2 linked regions of the Nothobranchius furzeri genome follow. The main gene of each other region encodes a partner of the protein of the gene in region 2 in a complex. Links are inferred from orthologs where the notes say so. Each region holds a gene or a part of one and is shown on either strand. Other genes may lie near its edges.

Evidence for each region.
Region 1: dis3l (region 2) and exosc10 share a complex: the UniProt entries of both Homo sapiens proteins name them as parts of the RNA exosome complex. The link is inferred for Nothobranchius furzeri from reciprocal best matches to the Homo sapiens genes DIS3L and EXOSC10.

The regions. Positions count from the first base shown.
Region 1 is NC_091755.1:29,805,292-29,817,079, forward strand, and holds the start of exosc10 (exosome complex component 10), read right to left. Parts: upstream 6,769-11,788; 5' UTR 6,689-6,768; coding exon 6,563-6,688; intron 5,838-6,562; coding exon 5,701-5,837; intron 5,513-5,700; coding exon 5,389-5,512; intron 5,304-5,388; coding exon 5,199-5,303; intron 5,074-5,198; coding exon 4,914-5,073; intron 4,826-4,913; coding exon 4,717-4,825; intron 4,635-4,716; coding exon 4,559-4,634; intron 4,484-4,558; coding exon 4,373-4,483; intron 4,259-4,372; coding exon 4,115-4,258; intron 3,749-4,114; coding exon 3,558-3,748; intron 3,446-3,557; coding exon 3,289-3,445; intron 2,578-3,288; coding exon 2,429-2,577; intron 2,294-2,428; coding exon 2,243-2,293; intron 2,154-2,242; coding exon 2,042-2,153; intron 1,963-2,041; coding exon 1,915-1,962; intron 1,829-1,914; coding exon 1,753-1,828; intron 1,174-1,752; coding exon 1,082-1,173; intron 998-1,081; coding exon 905-997; intron 824-904; coding exon 755-823; intron 673-754; and 4 more. UniProt on the Homo sapiens protein: Catalytic component of the RNA exosome complex which has 3'->5' exoribonuclease activity and participates in a multitude of cellular RNA processing and degradation events.
Region 2 is NC_091749.1:66,606,263-66,617,505, forward strand, and holds the end of dis3l (DIS3-like exonuclease 1), read right to left. Parts: intron 10,935-11,243; coding exon 10,799-10,934; intron 8,210-10,798; coding exon 8,042-8,209; intron 7,961-8,041; coding exon 7,882-7,960; intron 7,808-7,881; coding exon 7,628-7,807; intron 7,554-7,627; coding exon 7,390-7,553; intron 7,173-7,389; coding exon 7,011-7,172; intron 6,739-7,010; coding exon 6,488-6,738; intron 6,404-6,487; coding exon 6,311-6,403; intron 6,246-6,310; coding exon 5,957-6,245; intron 5,887-5,956; coding exon 5,651-5,886; intron 5,130-5,650; coding exon 4,975-5,129; intron 4,902-4,974; coding exon 4,723-4,901; intron 4,647-4,722; coding exon 4,501-4,646; intron 4,143-4,500; coding exon 3,971-4,142; intron 3,907-3,970; coding exon 3,586-3,906; 3' UTR 3,491-3,585; downstream 1-3,490. Other genes in the region: tipin (TIMELESS-interacting protein), read left to right, coding at 1,858-2,070, 2,632-3,296. UniProt on the Homo sapiens protein: Catalytic component of the RNA exosome complex which has 3'->5' exoribonuclease activity and participates in a multitude of cellular RNA processing and degradation events.

The sequences.
Region 1 (11,788 bases), on a different chromosome or scaffold from region 2:
CTCCAGAGAAACTGATTAAACAGCAAGAGATCTTTGGAGGAGAGAGCAGCTTCTATTGTTTCTCCTCATCATGAAAGAAAAGTGTCTGATGAGAAGAGGACACGTCTCCAACGCCTCAGCCCCACGCTGTGCAGCCTTCTCCCCCAGGCACAAAATGTGGTAGATATGAATATTAAACATTGTTACGACAGCGCCGGAGCAGTGGCTGTATTTATGTGCAGCAACAGCAGCAGAGCCTTCGTAAAGCAGAGGGCGTCGCACAAGTTTAAACTATTAAACCGACGTCTTTATGACGCTGCAGCCGGCGCCGCGGCCACTTCCACACGGGCTGAATTTCTAAACAAATTTCTACTTCACCAGAAAGGACACGACTTTCATATCAAGTAAAAACAAACAGGAAATGAATGGGAGAGTAAATAACTCACTGCTGCTTGCTGCCGCACAGTTGGGACCTTCTGGAGGGACTCCTGGTAGCTCCGTTTAGCTTTAGCTCGCTGCTCTGTGGAAACAACAACAAATGATGTGACTCTGCTTTAAAAATTTAAAGGATAATTGAACCAAATTACCTGATGCTTTCTTTGCTTGTTGTTTTGCTTCCTCTCTGATTTTCTTCTTGGCCTCCAGCTCTTTCTGCTGCTGCTCAACACTCTGAAGTTTCCATCTCTTGCTAATCTGTTAAAATAAGAAAGAACATCCATGAACATCCAAACAGGAAAAAAAACCTAAGCACTAATCAACAGAGGGCTTCGATCACCTCAAATATTTTTGAGGATGGGTCAAACTTGGCGTTCTTGTTGACGTGGACATCAGCTGAAGGCAAATACTGGGATAGCAAGAGGAAGATACACGATTATTCAGTTAGTTAAATAAAAATGTGAATTAGGTTAAATGTTCCACCTCTAACCATTCTGAAAGGGTTTTCAAAAGACTCAATGATGCGTCTCGCTTTCATCTGAGCGACAGACATGGATCTTTGGTCATTAGGAGCTTCTGGTTCCTTCAGGAAGAAAAAAAAAACGCATTGTTATAAAAAACAAATAAACAAAAGCTGAATAAAATGCAGTAAAATAGGTAGAGCTACCTGGAACAGCGTTATTTTAGGTGGTGCCGACAGACGGATTGTTTCCTCATCAACATCCTCTGAGAACAGGACCCCCTTTTTAACAGATGATTCTGAAAAAAAAAAAACAAATAAATAAATAAATCTTTCCTGAAACACTTTTTCCAGGGTATCTGCAGGTTTAAGGGAGCCAAATTTAAGACTTTTTAAGACATTTTTAAGGCCACTTTGACCAAATTTAAGCTGTTTTTGAAATTAAATTTAAGCTATGATTTCCAGCTATTGCCTGGAACGTCGCGAACGTGGGATTAGCCATCCAGTTACCATTAAACTTGCACTTTCCCATGGCGCAGGCTCCCACTAGCTTAACCAGCTAATGTGCTCATCTAAAAATAGTCCCCTTTCACTGAATGTGTACGGTTCCGCTTATGCCAACATCGTACACAAAAAATGCTGAACACTAACTAGAAATTCACGAATTTTTTTTAGAAATAAAAGAATCTTGTTTATTGGGTCTTTGGTAATTTAAGACCTTTGTAAACTGTATTTAAGGATTATTTGTCATTTTTAAGGACTTTTAAGGCCTTAAATTTGGAAAAGCAAATTTAAGACTTTTTACGACTTTTTAAGGACCCGCGGATACCCTGTTTTTCACTGAAACTTAGAAAAAGCACAGTAACTGTCAAGCTCACCGTCAGCTGTAACTTGTGGCACTTCACCCTCAGAAACCTTGGACACATCATGTGGACCAAACAAAGAGACCTCTGGCTGCAACATAAAAAACAAAACATGAATTTTCCCCAAATGGTGGCTGTCTGTAGCTGCTGGTGTCGCCCATTCAGCCTTCAGCTAACCTTCCTAACGGGCGTGAGTCCTTTCTTCTTCTGAGCTGCAATCTCAGCCTGTGTGAAAAGTGACAAACGCATCAAACCATGACAGATTCAGGCACAGTGACAGCGCAGAGCATCGGTGGTTCCTCACCTTCAGCAGGGGCATTTCTCTGGCTTGTTGCACCAATGAATGCAGCTCGTTGACCTGCTGCCTCACCAGCGGTGGCACGGGGATACAGCAGGCGATGATGCCCTGAGGCTCTCTGAGGAGGCCCGACAAATAAAAACACAAAAGTTATTTATAATAAATTACCTTCTGCAGTGATTTTAACGTAAAATCTACTGGACTTACTTGGGTAATTCCTCTGATATTTTGATCATCATGTGGGTGGGCAAAACGTATCTGAACACAAATAAAATCACATTTAAACACCTTGGAGCAGAAGGAGCATTAATATTTGGTTCTTTGCCGACTGTGCACACACACTCCTAATATAAATAAGCCGCTATGATAGAACATCACTTCACAAAGCCTTACCCGGTGCTTTCATCTTCCTGCCTGGCCAGCTTGTCCCTCCAGGCAAACAGGAGTCTGAAGGCAGTGAGCTGCTGAGTGTTAAAGGACTTTTTCTGCTTCCTCTGCAGCTCTAAATAAGACTCCTCGGTGTAGATGGGCTTCAAATATTTCTGTTTAAAAAGGAGAGAGTCGGGTCACACAGGGGAAGGAGACACGTGACATGAGGTAAAAGAGAAAACTGTGGGCAGGTGATAAAAACGAGAACAACTTTGTGCAACAACCAGGACTAGAAAGAGACACCAGGGCGAGTTTTACATGCTACGTTTAGACAGACTGGTGTCGTATCTGTATCATCACAATCCCTGCTGCTGAATTTATGGGACATCCTTCCTGACACTCAAAACATTTATAACACACCAATCTGTGAAATCATGTTTAATATCATTTTAATGTAAACAGCCTGTAGCTGTAAAATACCAAACCCATTTAGAATTTAAAATCCCAGAATGCACTGGAACAAGCTTCCTTCTGCTGCTGCAGTCATAAACTAACAAAAAAAAAAAACAACTATGCTTGCCTTAGCATCTAAGTTATATTAATAAATAAAGCGATGCATATTTTCTTTATGAAGATTTTGACATAAAACATCTAGAAAATCGGGGGAATTCCTTTGCAAAAAAAGCAAAATTTGACCCTCGGCTTGGACAAAGTTCTTAGATTTAAAACACAACAAAATGTCACTCCACCCCTAGAGATAATGTCAATTAGAAAAATAATAAAAGCACACCAGAACAAACAGAAATGATGCAAAACAACATGGACTTTAGACAGAAGTCTCCAGACCGCTTGTGCATGTGAGAGTAAGAGACGTTTGAGCAAACCTTTAATGAAATGTCTCGGCTCTTGTTCCACACACACTGCAACAGTCCCGGCTGCCCGTGGTTGCTGTCTAAAAGCTGCGCTCTCACACAGTCGTAGATGTAAAGGAGGTAGTGGGTGTCTGACCGAGCGTACTGAATCATCTCCTCTGGCAAGGGGCTGCAAGGACAATTAATACAAATTTCTTTTTGAGTTTCAGCTTTCAAAAGATATTATTATAAACATTTTCTTGTTGATTAATGATTAAAAATGTGTCCAGTTAACAACACACCGGATCCTCCAGTCGGCCAGCTGGTAACGTTTGTCCGAGTCCACGTCGCAGAAGTGTTTCAGCAGGTGGTCGAGGGAGTGTCGGGCCAGGTTGAGAGCTCGACTCGCCTGATGTGTGTCAAACAGGTTGACGACGTACAAACCAAAGTCCCTCTGGAGCCACTCGATGTCTGAATCAGCGCCGTGGAACACCTGCAGAACAGAAAACCAACCCACACACGCTTTTATTAAAGCATCTCTGAACTAAAAAAGACAAATTAACTGGACACATATGCAACACTTTAATTTGAATAATTTAACAAATCTTTCAGCTGTTCCAAGCCCACACATCATATTTGTTCAGAGGTGTCCTGCAGAGTGTGAGTCACGCTGGTTCCCACGCACAAGACACCTGCCAACCTTATCAAACATGTTAATGAGACGGAAATCTGGCTTTTATCTTAACTGCTGAGGGAGAACTGCTCCCTAGGATGATGGAGACACGCTCTCCCTTCACAAGTCAGACTCAGCTCATCTCTTCAACATTAAATTAACTCATTTATAGAACAGTTTCATTACTTTGACGATACTCGGGTCGGTAAACGCCTCGTTCAGAATGTACAATTCACTGCGGAGCTCCAAAGTATCAATGATGAAGTCCTCCTCTCTGGTGGAGACCTGCATCAGACAGGTGAGGCCGAGGAAACTCCTGTAGGAATGATGCTGTCACAGAAAAAAAAGAAAATGTTTAACAGAAAAACAGCCTCCAAAGAGTTTAATGACTTCCTAAAGCTACTTTTATTTTAATTAGAACAGAAAGACACGAGACTTTAGTACCTCAAGATCCACAGCAAATTCAGACGACTTGCACAGCTTCTCATTGAGAGTCACTAGATCCTCCAGCGAGTCGACGAAGGTTAGGTTTGTCTCAGCCAACGGTTTGTACATCTAGAAGGAACAGAAACAGATGAGACACACACCGGCACAAGATGATTTTGTTGGGTTACTACAGGTTAATATTACTTGAGGCTCTGGCTTGGACAGCAAGCTTTCTGGTACTATGAGATGGTCCAGTTCATACTGGTACGGGTGTGCAAACCTACATAAAATAAAAAATAAACTCTACTTAGAGAAATGAAAACATGAAACACGGTGTTGACACAACCAGGGACAAGTCTCACATGTCTTCAACATGTTCCTGCGTCCTCTGCTGGTGGATAAAGTCAGCCAGGGCAGCTGGGACGTCAAGGTCCTCCGGCCTCTCTTTACGAATTTGTTTGTTGGTAAAATCTACAGTTTGAGAAAAGAAAATAAATAACTCAGATACGCTGACGAGTTGAAATGGCAAATCAAAACATGTGCCAAAGGTGCTTCTTACAGGAGGGAAGAGCCTTTAATGAATTGGGCTTGATGAAGATCTTTGGAACAAAAGGTGTGTTGCTGTTGTCGACCTTTTCTTTGAATTTCAGCTGAGGCCTTGCAATGTTCTTGGCATGGAGCAGTCGGAATGTCTCAGAACGACTGCCAGAGCTGGAACCCTGTAAAAAAAAAAACACACGCACACACACTCTGCTTATTATGATATAAGAATTTATAGATAAGCAAGAAGGTAGTTCAAAACAGAAAAACTGTGATAACAGGAAGAACTGTTTATTTCACCTACCTTACGATTCCAACTAGAAACAACAATTTTCGGAGGCTGAAACCCAACAGGCATGACAGGCTTCTGGCTCCGATTAACCCCATCAGCTTCATCAAGAAGAATGCCCTAAAAACCAGACAGCAGAACCTGGTTGGTCTGCAAAGGTCTTTGCATTCATTAAGTAATTTAGAGCCAAAGGTGCAGGTCATACCGCTCTTTCAAGGATAACATCATTCGAGTCCACAACCAAGTCAAACCTCTCCTCTATTCCTGTGAGTTTGTCCCGGTCTTTTATGTGAGATCTGCAGCCATGGTTCTGCATTATCTGGCTCATGCTAAAAGACAGTTAAACAGATTAAAACCTTGTTTTACTCCCTCAGAACTCAGAATACTCAGTTCAGGTTTAAACTTGAGCTTGCTTCTGAAAAACTGGTCAGTGACAAAAAGAATAAAATAATTGTTAATTATGTGTTGGTTACATGCTGATTGATCATTGACATGTGCCAATAGAAACTACACTTACCAGTGCAAAAGCTTATCTCCTTGACTTTCACAGAACTCCTGGAATCCCGGGAAGCTCCGATAGAAATCATACTCATCTCCAGACTGAGGTAAGCCAGCTGAAGCTTTGGTGGCCGATAACACTGCACCCAAACCATACTGTAAAGAGACCAGGTTCAGTTGTTACTATTACTAAAGGATAATAACAATGCAATAATATTTAAAATCTCATTGGTTTGATTTAAATGTGATGTTGATTTGCCTAAAAGCTTGGCTGTTGGAAAATGCAGCTTTTCATTCTTTCTGATGGGGCCAAATGTAACTTTGACCAAACAGAAAAAATATATGAAGAACTAATCTAAACAGAAAAAAATCTAAACATTTGTCTTAATTTAATGGTGATTTTTGTGTGCCCCAACTCTAGCAACTTTTAAATCAAAATTAAATATTTCATGCGCTCCTTATTTATTTAAATGCCTCGTTGTATGAAATGCATTACACAAATAAAGCTGCCATGCCTTCATAGTTTATTTTACTAAATTATATTTGACAATAAAAAGGTTATTTAAGCTTAAATACTGCAGACCCCGAATCTAGTGGAATAAAAGCTTGTAGCAACATATTTTGCTCTAATCATCAGCTTATATCTACTGCTGATTTGGATCCCTAAATGAAAAAGCTGTCAAAAGCTAGTTGGCAAAAAGCTTCGTTACACACAACCACACCGTTGCACCTTTAATTTATGAATAGTGTTAAGTCATTGTCTCTGCTTTGCTTGACTTCAACTCCCAATGATGATCCTGCTAACTGGCCAACCAGCTCACCCACGTTGGACTGTTAGCATAAGCTAAAAACTGGCTAGCTAGCTAGTTTTGTTTACTTACTTTAACGAAGGTGTCCGCGTCTTTGAAACCAGGACATAACTCATCTTTCACTTCTTCAGTAGTGTCCAAATTACCTCCCTGACAGCTGCTGTCCGTGGCATCATTACTCTTTGAAGAATTCATCATCTAAATTTGAGTTGTGTACATGAGTGCCTGACGGAAACAGCGCCACCTTTACCTTCAGTGTTAATGGTAGAGCAGTAGGGTCACAGCGCCCCCTTTCGGCATGGAGTGGACAGTGTCAACATTACACAGGAGTGAATACTCATAAAATATTTTAAAATTGATTTAGTTGCTCTCTGATTTGAAACTACACTCAAAAATGTAAACATAATAAACGAAACACATAAATAATGTACAATAGTGTACAAAATACTGTTGAAAAGCTTGAAGTTATTAAATATAGCAACATTTTTACAAGTGTTTGTACATATAAATTAATTTTCTACATGATAAAGAAAAGACAAAAACTGAATCTGAATCAACAAATAGATAAAATAATTGTTGGTTTAAATGATATAAATCTGGAATATTTGCTGTGTATTGTTGTAATGCTGGCTACTCTCACTACAAATCTGAAAGGATGTTGGTCACAAATCCCGCAGGACTGTGCTCTGGTCAGCAGAGCATCCATCCAATGCAGTGAGACTGCAGACGCTGCAAGATTTCTTCTCTTATCGCCCCATTTGATCCAGTTTAGACAGAAAGATGCACCAGGACTCTGGTACCATGAGGGGGCAGTGTTTACATTTGTAAAGTGTGCAAACCACTCCTCAGCATCTGCAGCACATGAAAAAGGAAAATGCACCAGTCATGTCTCCACCAATATTTGTTTAAGAGACGTCTATATTATATTTGAATCGAAAGCTTATTATTTTTGCAGAGTTTGACCAAGGATGAAGGTATCCTAACTGTAAATGTATTCATTCCCCTCAGTGTTTGTTGCCAAAACAAATTAGAAAAACCGGGTGTTGCTGTGATCCAGTGGTCAATACATGAGAAGAGCCAAAGTATTGACACGCCAGCTCATTATAAATGATCTGTGGTGTGTGGGGAGAAACCTCTCTTTTCTTCACTTCCCATTCAAATCGATTTCTTCACGAGGCCCTCTCCTTCTTATTATCTTAAAAGCATCTCCGCAACACTGACTGGATCAATATTTCACAGCATCTTTCCATGTCATTCTGTTGTTTCAGCGGAGAGTAACCAAACTTCGGCACACACGTGCACTAATAATTCAAAGAAATGAATCAGCATCTGTTGGAAAGTCGCTGCACAAAACCAGCAACTTGATGTGTTCGTTTCTAAAGATATTGAGTGTTATATTACTTTGAAACCATTGAGTTATCACTGATAACAGTCTTTATAATGACGTATTAATCCAGATTTAATAAACTTTGTCATATTATTAATCTATGTTATTGTTGCATTTCACCCCAATTTATGTGCTTTAAAAATATGATGCATTTTCTAGCTTTGATAGCGCTCCAAGGCTCTACTCCAGTGGGGTGTCCAGATCTTTTAAAATGGGGTGGCCCAGGTGAGGCACAATTTTGCGCATGGGTAGCACCAATGGTTATGCTTTTTTTGTTTTACCCCCAAGCCTTTTGTGGACAATGAAAAGCCTATTTAAAGGTAAATTAGTGTGGTGGCACCTGGGGTGGCCAATCAGATTCCAAGGGTGGCATGTGCTACCCCAGGCCACTCCCTGGACACGCCCCTGCTCTACTCAAGTCTCTCCCCGTGCAGTACAGACACTAAAACTGCTGATGCTGAAGGTGACAGCAAAATAAATAAATAAATAAATCCAGGAGAAAATTCTCAGTGAACTGTTTTTATTAACTCCTTCATTTAAAAAACACCAAAATGCACCAAACAATGTCATACATGCACATCTTCAGCATTTCAAGATCAGCTGATGACTTTTCAATGTGAAAACATTAATGACACGATCTCATAGAGATCACCTGGACACTGAAATACTGAGGAGTCACAATAGAAAGGTCAAGCGTTGTCACCCAAAACACAAACTAGTACATTTTTCTTTCAATTTAATTTAATTACAAATTTAGCACGAAATGCTGCCATCTCTGAAAATGGTAAAGCTGTATAAAAAGACAAAGGTAGAGAGAGCTATTGTGCATCGGTTATTTCACCAAACCGGTGTGTGTGTGTGTGTGTGTGTGTGTGTGTGTGTGTGTGTGTGTGTGTGTGTGTGTGTGGTAGCAGCTGTTAGCAAAAGAGTCTGTAGTCATTTATTTTTCAAAGTTTGACTATTACAATTGGAAATAGGGGTTTAGCGTAATACATACAGTATGTATTATATACTGTATGAAGGCAAGAGAGATTTCAAGACTGGCTTTAGCAGTAGCAAAAAGTGGCTTTAATCACTACTTTTAAACAACACTTGACCTTTGTGCAGAATATTTTTCAGTAAAAAAACAAAAAAAAAAAAAAAACAAATAACAGGTAAGATCCATATCAAACATTAAAAAATGTTAAATCAAATGATCTCCACAGTACTGGTACATTACAAAACAGAGAGGCTGACAATGTTTCAATGCAACCAAAGATACAAATGCAACCTTTTTTCAGTTCGTTTGATTCTAAACAACAGCTGCAAAAGATGGAGTTTTCTGTTTAAGAAAGACAAAACATACGTAAACTGTCCACATATAAAAGAAAAAAAGTAACACTTTATAATAATGATCCCTTTATTAACGTTACTTAGTGCATTATTAAGCATTAATAAACAAAGGATCCCTTTATTAAAATTTCAGATACTGTTAACTATTAAATGTCTTTAAGGTTAGTACAAAGGGCCGGGTGGGGAGGTGTCTACTTACTAAAGCATTACTTAATATTAACATTAAGTAGTTGCTAATACTTTATTTAGTAGTTTATTAAAGTTTAAAGTGACAATGTGTATTTTTATGATTCATCTCTGGAAACATCCATCGAAATCCTGTTGAAAATGAACAAAATGATGCCCAGTCGTTGAAAACTATTGGTGGCTTTGTAAAATTTAACCATAAAAATCAGGTCTGATGTACATGGGGCGCGGGTCTAGCATCTTTGGGGGACAACACATTAGACGTCATGTTTCCTTCTGGCCAGCTCAGGATCCTGCGCCTGTTGATGACATCACACTAGATGATTGGCTGGACCCTGCAAACAGTTAACGTCGCATGGACGTGCAGATCATGTCTATACTGAGTCTGTCGGTCCAGACCCCGTCTGTAGGACGTCCAAACTAGGTCTTTGCACAGTGGGGATGTATGATTTACTGTCATTTCTTCACCACGTTCGAAAACGAATCATGTAATTTATTAACAAAACTGCTAAACTCTTTCCAAAATTTATGTGAAAGAACAGAATCAAAAGAGAGTTGCAATAGATCTTGGCCGAGTGATATTGCCGTAGTAAGATGATGTCATCGGCAGGCGCAGGACTCCGAGCAGATCTGGAAACTACAACCCCAGAAAACTAGCATCAGCATTGCATCCGTTCGAGGGAATTAACTGAAGGACCACCAAAGTGAGAGGAGTCATGCCGAGGTTGCATGCTTTCTGCTCCACAGGTAACAACATTTACCGTAATGTTTTTATAAACTAGCAACAGTCACAGCGATATGTAAAACTACCCTGAAATGTATGTACTGCCCCCTAATGGCAGGGAACTACACACTGCTACTTTAATAATTCACCAAGTAACGTTAATAAAGGGACCCATCAAAAAAATAAATGGCAGGTTTCAGGTTAAAACGCTCATCAGATGTAGAGAAAACTTTTGCTTTTCATCTTTACACTTTAGACAAGTTATTTTCCAGCAAGACGAACCTGATGCAGCCTTGAATTCAGCAGATTTTCCCCTCAGTTTTCCCTTCTGCTCTGGCAGCCTAAGATTATTTAACAGAAAAATAGACACTCTGAGTCCTGACTAGGTCAAAGTCATTTTTCCTACCTCCGACGCTGACCTTGCATTATTCTACTTGAATGTCCGCAATGCTTCAGTTATTCAGGGCAGACAACGATGGTTAAGAGCAAAGAAAACGAGTTTAAACCATTTTTCTTTCAGTAGCAGAACGGTCCTCTTGAAATCACTTGCCCATGACACTAGGCTAAAAGTAATAACCATACACAGCCCTGCTCACACACACACACACACACACACACACACACACACACACACACACACACACACACACACACACACACACACACTGAAGCCATCTTGACAAAAATGTTCTGATTTAGTCTTCCCTAAATCCTGATATATTAGTCTTGTGCGGGTGTCATTAGTACCATTACTCGCGTGCCCTTCCCCTCCGAACCCCCCTCAGGCCTGCTCTAATTTATTAAGATGTTTGAATGTCTGCTATATCGTGGTCCACATCAGGCTTTCCATTCATCACGTCAGACCATTAAATAGCCCATTGTGTTCTGTGCTAATACCTCTCTGATCTATTAACTCCTGTCACGTTGGAGCCGCTGAACGATGGAGTGAAGCACGTCTGAATACCTGAGCAACGGCGTTTCACTCAAACACATAAACAAAGGCAACACACACCACACACGTTAAAAAAAGGGCCGAAAAACACAAACGACAACAAAGGACATATTCACAAAGTATTAAAACACAGCTAGAGTTAGCCAAACGATGTCAAAGCTGGTGGCTAGATTTCGGTTAACAGACTGGCACAATTGGCAGCACTTGAAAAATGCCCGTCCTGACTACAATGGCTGATGAGGCATATCGACTGGCACTGACTGAGCCTCGCCCAGATGGATGAGGAAAAGGATTGAAACTAATACTTCCCCCCCACTATTGATAATCAAGTCCTATAAATCACACAGGCTGTAAAATCTCATAGTTTTTCCAAGAACTCAAGGTGATATTTTTCTGATTGCTTTGTGTTTTTGGTCCGATCAATATAACAGCAGCCTTCAATGATTCAACATTTTATCACATGGAGGCAGAACATTCGGGACTCTAACATGTCATCAGGTGTCCCTTCGTTTCAGATTTTTTTTTTCGAAGGACTAAAGCAAAGGTTTTAGCTTTTACCTCTAAACCTGTAGCTGGGAATGACGCCGCCACAAAGTAGAGGTGTATAATCGACATTTATGCACAAGTAATTTAAACATCAGCAAGGAATAAACTGTAATAATTCTTCCGATATGACAATAACAGAACATTTCTTTCACAAAAGGCATTTGCAAGGTC
Region 2 (11,243 bases):
GCCGTGATGTGTAGGTGGTGTGATGTAAGCTAGATGTTTATCAGAATTAGGGCTGCACAATATATCGTAAATATATCGTTATCGCGATATCAGCATGCACAATATGCATATCGAAAAGAACAGATAAATATCGCAATGAATGGTCAGCTCAAATGTTAACTAAACATAATGCGTTCTGTCAATCAAATGGAAGTACCGGTATTATGTGTTTTTAAACAAATCAAATAGAGCTCTTCACCCATTTGGCCAATTGGGTGGGTTCTCATAGGTCAGACGCCCGCCCCCGAGGCGGACGGCACTCAATTTTGATGGTTAGCAAACACCTGAGTTAGCTTTGTTCTGCTCTTTTTGCTGATTCTGCTTTTCCCGCAATCTACTGATTGCCTTTTCTTGATCATTTTCTTTTTCCCTTTCCTCACATCTTTTGCTTTTCTCATTTTAATTTATTATTTTTTTATCATTTTTGTTCCTGAGTTAAGTTTTTATTTATCACAAGTGATATCGTCATCGTAATATGAATCTATATTATCGAATATCGCAGGCTTTCCTAAAATCGTGAAGCCCTAATCAGAATCTTTGTATCTGGAAGAAATTGTGAAATCTGGGTGTAAAATAATTTGTTGTCTGCTCTAAACTAGAGAGTCGATTATTAATAAAACAGCATCAGACGCAATCTGTTGTGTCTACAAACCCTGGCGGAGACCCCCAGCAGATCCGGACTGTCAGAAGTCGGGTAGATCTCACGGCACCGGGAGCCCGTAGATGAGCTCCGATACGACCCGTCCAGTCTTGAGACGTCTCCAGGTCACAACAGTAGCTGGAATGCTTGTTTGCGTCTAAGTGGATGTGGCTCTTAGGGAGCCGTCTGGCTGTGTCAGCTTGCAGCGTGCAAACAGGTTTGACTGTATGTCAGAAGAGATGTCTCAAGGATGCTTGTCCCGAATTGGCCAGTTCAGAACTCTGCTAGAAACGGCATCACTCGGGAAGTAATTCTTGTTTCATTAAACCACTTTATTATGATTTCTGGCCAAGTTTAGCCAATCAGAATTAGACACGTTTCTGAGTTTTCACCAACATCCCTCAGAAAGCCACGTCCTCCTCAGATACAAAGATTTTTTTAACACTGTGAATGAGATTGTCTTGAAACACTTATGTGAGGTGAAGCTTAACCTGAATTTGACTCTTATGAAGATGTACGAGTGTAGACGATGATTAACTTGTTAAATCAAACACATACTGGTCATAAGATCGGCAATGGATCGTTGTAAGAGCAATATTCATTTCAACTTCATTGATTTAATCACAAATTATTCAAACATTTCATTTAAACATCGTGTTCATTCAACCATATGATTAATTAACTTATAAGTTGTAAAGCCTTGTAGGATTCGTGTAGGTTCACTTTTATTCAGAGTGAGGAATCCAGCAGTCTGACTTTTACACAGAGAGAGAAGGGCTTTTGAGGGAGACCTTGACAGTTTATTTATGTCTGCGGTGAAGAACAATAAGTGAGCAAAGGGTTGATTTGTGCGTCTGGATCCTCCAGCTGGTGCAGCCTTGACTTTGCGGCTCTGGCGTGTGTGAAAGGTTATGCTGTGTCAATTTGATGGCGAAAACTTGACCCTTTTGATTCATAACAAAGACTTTCCCGTGGTTCAGATGAAGAGTTTTGGACCAGCTGATATAATTACCACAACATTTTACAGATCTAAAGCATGTAGAGCGACTCCAGCAGGACAGAATTCCATGTTTCAGGTCGTAAAACTGATGGAACCTGAGTTAGAACCTTTTTAAAACCAGCGGCTTACTGGCTGGTTCTGACTCCGCTCTCTCACGTGTTCTCCAAATGTTTTGTAGGTGAGGAAGAAGCTCCACCTGAGATGCAGGTGTTCCAGGATTTTGATCCCTTCAGCAGTGAGAGTTCTGTTAAAGACCCACAAGGTCTTCTCCGGTCCACCCCGGTCCCTGCTCCTCCGGCTGTCCCGCCTCTGACTCAGGATCAGCTCGACAGGATGGAGCTGAACCGGCAGCGAGCGCTGGAGAGGAGGATCGCTCGTCAGCAGCAAACAGGTGAGAAGAACCAGAACTACCTGGTCTATGGCAGCCCGGGGAGGACAATCGGTCCTGACTAATCTAGATTCTACTTGTGTAGTTTCTGGTGTCTACCACTAGAGGTCGCTGGAGCTCTGGGATGATTCCTCCAGCTGCAAAAACTTAGAAATCACAAATGTCAGAAGGTGGTAAAAGATTAGAAGCTGTAGCTCAGGAAGGAGAGCGGGTAGTCCAGCAATCGGAAGGTTGTAGGTTTGATCCCGGCTCCAACCAGAGAATGCTGCTGGTGTGTCCTTGGGCAAGACACTTAACCCGCCTTGCCTGCTGGTGGTGGTCGGCGGGACCGGCGGTTAAATTATAATTATTAGTTTATCAGAGAAACACAAAATCCAAAAGGTCTGAGAGGATCTTTGAGTTTTAAACCAGCTGATAATTTTGTTCACAAATTCATTAAAAACTGAAAAAGTTCTGATCTGCTTCACCGACCCGAGGGATCGGTTCTACTTGGTTCATCTTCAGAAAACATATAAAACAAAACCAGAACAAATGGATCGCTAATTGTCTTCTCTTCTTGTGTAGAACCTTCTGACACCGGGCCTTCGCCAGCTTCCTCCAACATCCTCAATGGTTCTGCTGACCAGGAGAAGATGCAAGATCTGGACCTGGATCGGTCCTGCAGCACACAACCTCCTGCTCTTCTACACACAGACCCAGAACCTCCTGCTCCTCTAGACGCTGACCCAGAACCTCCCGTTTCTCCACACGCCGACCCAGAACCTCCTGCTCTTCTACACACAGACCCAGAACCTCCTGCTCTTCCACACAAGGACCCAGAACCTCCTGCTCCTTCACACGTGGACCTAGAACCTCCTGCTCTTCCGCACAAGGACCCAGAACCTCCTGCTCCTCTAGACGCTGACCCAGAACCTCCCGTTTCTCAGCACGCCGACCCAGAACCTCCTGCTCCTTCACACGTGGACCTAGAACCTCCTGTAGAACCTCCTGCTCCTCCACATGCCGACTCAGAACCTCCTGCTCCTCTAGACGCTGACCCAGAACCTCCTGCTCCTCTAGACGCTGACCCAGAACCTCCTGCTCCTTCACACATGGACCTAGAACCTCCTGCTCCTTCACATGCCGACTCAGAACCTCCTGCTCCTCCACACGCTGACCCAGAACCTCCTACTGAGTCCACTCTTGGTAAGGAGGAACCGGTCCCAGAGGGGCCGGAGGAAGAAGTTTAATGCCAGCGTGGTTCTAAAACCTGAACAACCTGCAGTTCTGGTCCACTTGGTTGTGCTTGGTTCTGGATGTTTTGACATTTGTGACCTGAAGGTGAAGAAAGAGTCCAGGTTTTGGGACACAAAGACTGTGGCTGCAGGTCAAAGGTCAGAGACGTTTATACGAATCACATTTTATTATAAAAGTCAGAATAAAGTTTGAGTTTTCCTGAAACTTCGGTTTTTATTTTTAAAGCCTCGTTCTCAGATTTTAAAAATAAAACTTGACAGAACCAAACGTTCTGCAGGACGTTCAGGTGTCCACCTGTGTCCCCTCGGGGGGGCGTGGCTCCGTCTCCGGGTCCAACAGGGACAGTTCTCGGATCTCCTCCAGAAGGGAGTACAGATTAGGAGTTTTACTCTGCCGGAACTCCCTCTCCTCTCGGGACAGTTTGGGTTTCCGGGTCTCCTTCTGTGCCTCCTCAGCAAGTCGGACCACCTCCTGGACCAGCTGGTTCCGGCCCTGTGAGGAGACCTGCTGCGGCGTCGAGCTGCTGCGGTGCGGCTTGTTGCTGATGACCTCCATGTTCAGAGTGTCCGAGTGACAGCTGGAGGACAGGACGGAGACGCGGACCTGAGGGGACAAACGGGAGCTCAGTGGGTTTCTCAGCAGGCCCGGTTCTGAGACGTTTACTCACGGTGATGTGGTCAAACAGCCTGAAGGTGGCGCTGCCACAGGCAGAGGTGGTTCTGATGTGGTCCGAGTGTCGCTGGACAGAACCACTCTGCCACTCACAGGTTCCGTCAGGTCCCACTGACACCACCTGACCCTCCTTGTTCTTCAAGTAGACTGGACCTTTCACACCGTACCTGTAAACAGCAGCGACCCGGGTCAGAACCAGAACCACTTATTTACGCTCCCAGACTTCTAATATCTAAACAAATATCCCAGAATTCAGTTGGTGCCGACCCAGAATCACAAGGAAGAAGTTTCTGTTTTCATCAGAATCGGATCCGACAAACCTGCAGAACCGCGAACGACCCGATCCCATGAAGTTCACGCCGTCCTGTTAACAAAAAATCCTCCAATAGCCAACCGGGTCCAACCAAACTCATTTAGAGTCCGGAGTCCAGGCCCGGTTCTGTAAACTGGAGCCCATCTCGGGTAATGTCCAAACTTCTGTTTAAAGAACCTCAATGCTGCTGACAAACCGGGTCGGTTCCTTACTCTGGGACAAACACCAGCACGCCGTTGTCTCGGATGGAGTAGATGACGGCGCCAGCCACGCACCGCGGGTCCGTCTCAGGGTCTCGCTCTTTGAAGAAAAGGCACTGAAACAGCCCGATGGAGAGGTTCTGGGCCCGCTGGGCCGCCTGCAGAATGGAAACGGCTCAGAACCTCATCAGACTGAAACACCACGGAGCTTCAGAACCGACCCGCTCTTCTCACCCGGTTCTTGTTGTTGATGTGCTCCGCTAGCTCTTCCATTTCTTTATTTCCAGCGGGCGCTTCGACAGGCTCCGCCCCCTGCTCCGTGGCCAGGGCGGCGGTCAGCAGGCGGTGAACCACCATGTCGGCGTACCGTCGGATCGGGGAAGTGAAGTGGGTGTACCGGTCCAGAGCCAGACCTGCAGAACATCAGAGTAGAACAGTCGGGTCACTGAGACCAACGGCTTTGTTCAGCGGGAACGCCGGGCTCACCGTAGTGGAAGAACTGGTCCTCGGGTTCAGAACCGGTGGAGAAGTACACGGCCTGGGACATCGCCTGGGTCGCCATCATCCTGAGCAGCCTGTTTACCAGCGGGTCCCGGGGGTCCACGGCCCGGTTCAGAGAGTCAGCTAAAGCCTTGTTGGTGCTGCAGGGATCAGAGGGGCACGTTTAGATCCTGAACCAGAATCCGGTCCGGTCACAGAACCAGGTCAGGTAGGGATAAACGGCAACAGGTGACACGTTCCTAACCAGATCACCTGGTGCCGTTGTCATGGTGATCCAATGCAGACGGGATTTTCTCATTTAGTCACAAAGGTTCTGGTTTCAACAAAGCGGCCCAGAACGGAAGAGGCTAGAACATGGTCCCTTCCTAAACCAGATCCAGGACAAGTTCTGTTCTAAAAGAAGCAGGAACATCCCATGCCAACGTGTGATGTCACACGGGTCACTACAGAACCACGGATTGTTCTGATCGGGTCTGAGCAACAAGACCTGCTGAATCTGGTGCCAAAGTCATCTGGTGGTTCTGATCTGAACCCAAATGGGTTCCAGATGTTCCCGAGACTCACCAGGAAACCAAGAACCCTCGAGATCTTTTGACCCAATGAGTTTATAAATCAGCTGGTTTTGGTCGGTTCTGATGGACCTGTTGGTTCTGTGTGTCACCTGGTGTCGATGCTGAAGCCCCGGGCCTGGGCCGTGTCCACCAGCTGACCAAACAGCTCCTGGCGTGGCGGCGGGTGGCGCCGCAGCAGAGCCTGGTACGGAAACACTTCCTGTATCTTGCGCGCCACCCAGTGGTTGGCGTAGATCATGCATTCTGCCACCGTCTCATGGACCTCCAGCGGCTGACGGGGGACCAGCGCCGTGATGTTCCGCTTCTCATCCAGCTGGGCTCGGACCTGAGGAGGACCGGGTCCAGGTTTCAATATAGAACCCCGAGTTCAGAACCGACCCAGTAGAACCACGTACCTCCACCCCCTCCAGCTCCAGCGCACCTCCACAGTCTCTCTGCGCACGGAGGTGTCTCGCCACATGCGTCAGTGTCTCCAGCGCTTCCACCAGCTCGGCCAGCTTCCCGTCCCGCTCCTCCGAGGCGAGCTGGGCCAGTTCCGGTACCTCTGCCTCCTCCCCGTTCAGCAGCGCCTGGGCCAGCTCGTAGTGCAGCTGGTACGAGGATCGGATCAGCGTGCGACCGAACCACACCTTGGCGACGGCCATCGTCTGAACGTCGAGCTCCCACAGGACACTCATGGCGTACCTGAACACGAGAGCGAACCCGTTGGACCGGCGGAGCTTCTGTGAGGAGATGATGGATCCACTCACCTGTCGACACCTCCCAGCAGGGAGCAGAGGTCAGCGCTGAGAACAGCCGGCAGCATGTCGTAGCGGCGGTCTGCCAGGTAGTAGGTAGTGGCCCTGAAATTCCACAGAGCCTTCAGATCAGGGGTCCAAACCCAGGTCTGGAGTGAAAACCGAGTCTAAAGTTTTGGTTCTGCTCACCTGGAGCGAGCCTCCAGGTCGGTGAGCGATCCCTCAGAAACAAAGTGAGTGACGTCAGCGATGTGGACCCCCAGCTCCAGCAGCGACCCGCCAGGGAGACGGCGCACCGACAGAGTGTCGTCCACGTCCTCGCAGCCACGCGGGTCGATGCTGAACACCAGGTGAGTCTCCCGGAGGTCCCGCCTCTTTGACACCTGAACCGGATCCACCGTCCATGGCTTTGTTGCCGAGGTCGATGGCATTTCCCTCAGCTGATGGAGAGAAGGTCACAGGAAGGCTGTGATGGCGATTTCTGATCAGAACTTCTACCGGCTCAGTCAGCTGTCAAACATTATGGATGCTGGGTAAATACAAAACGTTTCCATGGAAACCAAAAAGCAGCTGTTGCTCGGATCACCAGCTAACGATGACCCGAGTTATCGCTGCCTCGCACCCGGTTCCTGACTCCTGAACCACCTCTGACGGGGACGCTGGACCCCGCCCCTGGTGGGAGTCAGCAGATCACAGTAGAACCGGTTCTGACCTGAGCTTCTGAGAAGGGAGGAACATGGATGCAGTTCTCTATCAGGATGGTCTGGACCTCGGTCTCCAGCTCTCCGGCCCGACCCAGAACCCGAACGCTGTGACCGCTGGGATAGAGGGAGGTGCTTTCCCATGAATCGATGCGCACCACCACTCTGTGGTCCTGCAGGACAAAACAGAATGGAGCTTCATGGACAAGCTAGACCCAATTCTCCAGAACCGGGACACAGTAATCCCTCTTCAGCACTAACAATCCTGTCAGCATAAAGAGTCGATAATGAAAATAAAACTTTTTCCTGTGAAATAAAAAATGAAACTTGTTCCTACAGAAAGTGGACCTATCAGAACCAAAACACCCAACAGAGAAACTGGACCCAGACCTGCAGAACATCGGCCTGCTGGGTGCTGATCCGGATCTTAGGGATGCGTCGGTCCCAAGGAATCACCAGGATGCGCTGGGAGTTCCTGCTCTGAGTCCCCTCCCTTGGGGGGAAGGTCACCACGTAGTCCCTCCAGTTCCTCTGCAGGACCCCCACAACCCGACCTGAACCCAGAACCACACCTGGTCAGTCAATCAGAAGCACCCAGGGCCTGCTGGACTCTCAGGTCCGGCCTCACCTGTGGGCATTGGTTTACTCTCACTGTCCCCTCCTGTCCTCTCGTCCACCGGTCCCTCCGTCAGAGCCGTGACCTTTCCCCTCCACTCGCTCCTCGGCAGAAGCTCCAGAACCACAGAATCCCCGTGCACGGCTCTGTTGCGGTTCCTCACGCCGTACACCAGAACCCCCCCAATCAGATCTGGGAAGAAGAACCGGGGGGATTCTGAACAAGTTCTGAGTCGTTCTGCAGAGAGGTTCAGGAAGGTTCTGTACCTGAGTTCTTGTTGGAAATATCATCATTCGCAACAAACGCTTCGTTCTGAGCTCGATGTTTGCTGACGTTCAGAATCCCCTGGTTCAACAGAATATTAACCAGTTAGCCAACCCGTGTGACCCTGAGTTTAGACGTCGACCCGATCAGGTGAGGTTCTACCTGAATGTAACGCCCAGATTTGATGCCAGCCGCCAGAACTTCAGTAGGTAGATGTTCACAAAACTCCTTCTGAGTGTCCTCGCTCTCCTTCTCCTGCAGCGCCTGAGAAATGGAGCCGTAGAGCTCGTGGGCCGCCTGCAGATCGGGCCAGAAGTTCTGCAGATAATCCTGGAAGGGATGAAGTCAGGTCTCAGGGGAACATCTAGACCAGAAGAGCTGATCCTAACCTTCTAACTTTCTGCTTTAGCAATTTCTTTAATTCTGACCAGACTGATGGGCTAACGGCTAGTCTGAGCTGGTCACAACACATGTTGGCGTTTTAAATGCAGCTCTAATCCATCTCATAAATGTCAGTAAGTTATATTCCTGCCAAAAGAACAATGCTTATGTTTGATTAAATAGGAGACCAAGTCACACTTTATTCTAGAAACCAAAGCTGTGAATGAAGCCATCATGCATGTTTTCAAGTGGTGCTCGCTGCAGAACCACAAAGGCGGAGCTGCACCAGAGTCAGCCCCGCCCATTCCATCAGAGTCAGTCCAATTCCTTCCAGTTGTCAGACTTGATAGCATTCTGGAACCAAAGAGGGTGTTATAGCTAACATCATCTAAAATGCAAGATTGAGGACGGAGTTGAGAGGTTAATTGAACAGTTTTTGTAAAGGTTTCATATAATTAAAAATCTAACTTTTGGAACTTTTTACCATGTTATATTGTCATTTCCTCAAAAGAAACACGCCAAAGCCATTTTTGGCCTCATTCACACATTTTTCCTCCCATCTCAGCTTCAGTTTGGTCTCCTCCCCCGAAGCGGGTCTGGTCTTGGTTCTCAATTTTCCGACAAATTATTTCTGAAATGACTTCTACTGAGACACCGCCGAAAAAACCATACATCCCATCTACAAAGACACACTGGATGGCACAATTAGTGTGATGCCACTTGCTTTTTATCAGATGTAGTGGTGAAGTGGTTATGGAGTCAGATAGACATGCTCCATGCTGTCGTTCTTTTTAAAACACAGAAACAGATTTGTTTACCTGTTTTGTCGCTACGTTTCGCCGGCGGCGAAACGTAGCAACAAAACAGGTAAACAAATCTGTTTCTGTGTTTTAAAAAGAACGACAGCATGGAATTACCACGACACAGCAAGAACACACCTAAGATGTTCAAAGATAGACGTGCTGTTTTGCGCAGGTTCGCCTCCCAGTAGCAGAAATATTAGGTAGTTTAAAACCCTTTTTCTTCTTTTCTAGCTACACTTGCCACTACTATGTTTACAACTATTTATTGGTATACCGTCTAAAATATAATGACTAATGTTTAATTAGCCAGTGTGAGTCCATTTGTGAGCAGAGTTTCAACTAAAATGCTGTTTAGGAACGACCAAATTCAAAGAACTTTTAGAGACATAAATATTTTGCAGAAAATAAACATTACAACTAAAATATAAACAAATTAAATGTTTCAGCTGGATAAATAGATTGCTGCCGACCCCACCGAGAGTCGAACCAGCATCAACGGCAAAACTTTACGATCTCGCCACTGGACTACCAGAACCCACACGATAGCCTGAAATGCTGTTGTAGGCCGCTTTTGTTGGAGCGGCTGTGGGCAGATATTTGCTAAAAGAAACTTTCATTTCAGGATATATTCAGGCTTTGTCATGTAGCAAGTTATATTTATCTTGTTTAATTGGAGCATAGAACGTAGCATTAACATTTGTAAACCAGTAACAGCCGTAGTTCATGTGGGTCAGGTTAGTTTGCGATAAAGTTAAAAAACAAAAACAGAAGAAGTCAGTGGGCTAGGCTGAGTTTGCGAGAGTGGGCGGGGCTGACTCTGGTGCAGCTCCGCCTTTGTAGTTCTGCAGCGAGCACCCTCTCCTCGTTTTTGGTTCCTTGGGAGGAAATGCACACGTTTGGATGTGTGGGGCTGCTTTTGTGCATCACTACCCAGTTCAGGGTATCTGCAGGCTTAAGGGAGCCAAATTTAAGACTTTTTAAGACCTTTTTTAAGGCCACTTTGACCAAATTTAAGCTATTTTTTAAATTAAATTTAAGCTATAATTTCCAGCTATTGCCTGGAACCGGTGCTAGCCACGTCGGAAACGTGGGATTACCAAGCTCCCACTAGCTTAACCAGCTAATATGCTCATCTAAAAATAGCCCTCTTTCACAACCAACTGAATGTGTACGGTTCCGCTTACGCCAACATCATACACAAAAAATGCTGAAGACTAACTAGAAATTCTTGTTTATTGGGTATTTGGTAATTTAAGACCTTTGGAAACTGTATTTAAGGATTATTAGTCATTTTTAAGGATTTTTAAGGCCTTAAATTTAGAAAAGCAAATTTAAGACTTTTTAAGGACCTGCAGATACCCTGCCAGTTGGACCTCCTTTTGTCTAAAATACTGCATCAGCACAGTGTGAGCCTAGCCTCAGAGCAGTGGGCCGGAAGGCCGGCATCCAGCATGTTTTAGTTGTTTCTCTGCTCCAACACACTTGATTCAGTGGTGGAATCACCTGTGCAGAAACTCATCAAGCTCTGCAGAAGTCTGTTAATCAGCTGCTGACTGAAACCAGGTGTGTTGGAGGAGGGTTAAAACTAAAACATGCTGGATGCCGGGCCTCCAGGACCAGGATCAAGCACCCCCTGCCCTTGACTTTCAGGGTTAGCCTAGCCCTAGCCCATCAGCCTGGGTTGGGGCTAGGCTAACCCTGGCTGATCTGATTGGCTGCTGACTGACATGTTTACCTTGAAGGTGACGACAAAAACTCCAGAGTTCAGGTTGCTGAACCGACTCACAACATCTTCGTCCTCTGTAACCATCACGATGCTCATCATTCCTGCCAGGTGGTTGTAGTACCACACTGCAGCTTCGTACACACACCTACCCACAAATAATACATCAGATGGTTTTTACACCGTTTATCCAAACTTTACATTTAAAAACACTTCTGAAACTTTGGTTTAAACAGTTAAAAACACGGACCCCTGCTGATTCTGGTTCCTGAAGACCAAGGGCCTCGTTTGTAAAACTGCATAGAATCCTTACTAAAACCCCACTTAAGCTCAGCTAAAAATGAAAAAGTTACGCAAACTGATTTTCCGACTTATGAAACTGTGCCAACGGTGTGAAAATGTGTCCTTAAACATTTTACCATCTCGCCCTCTTCCAAGTCTGCAAGTTTTGCTTAAA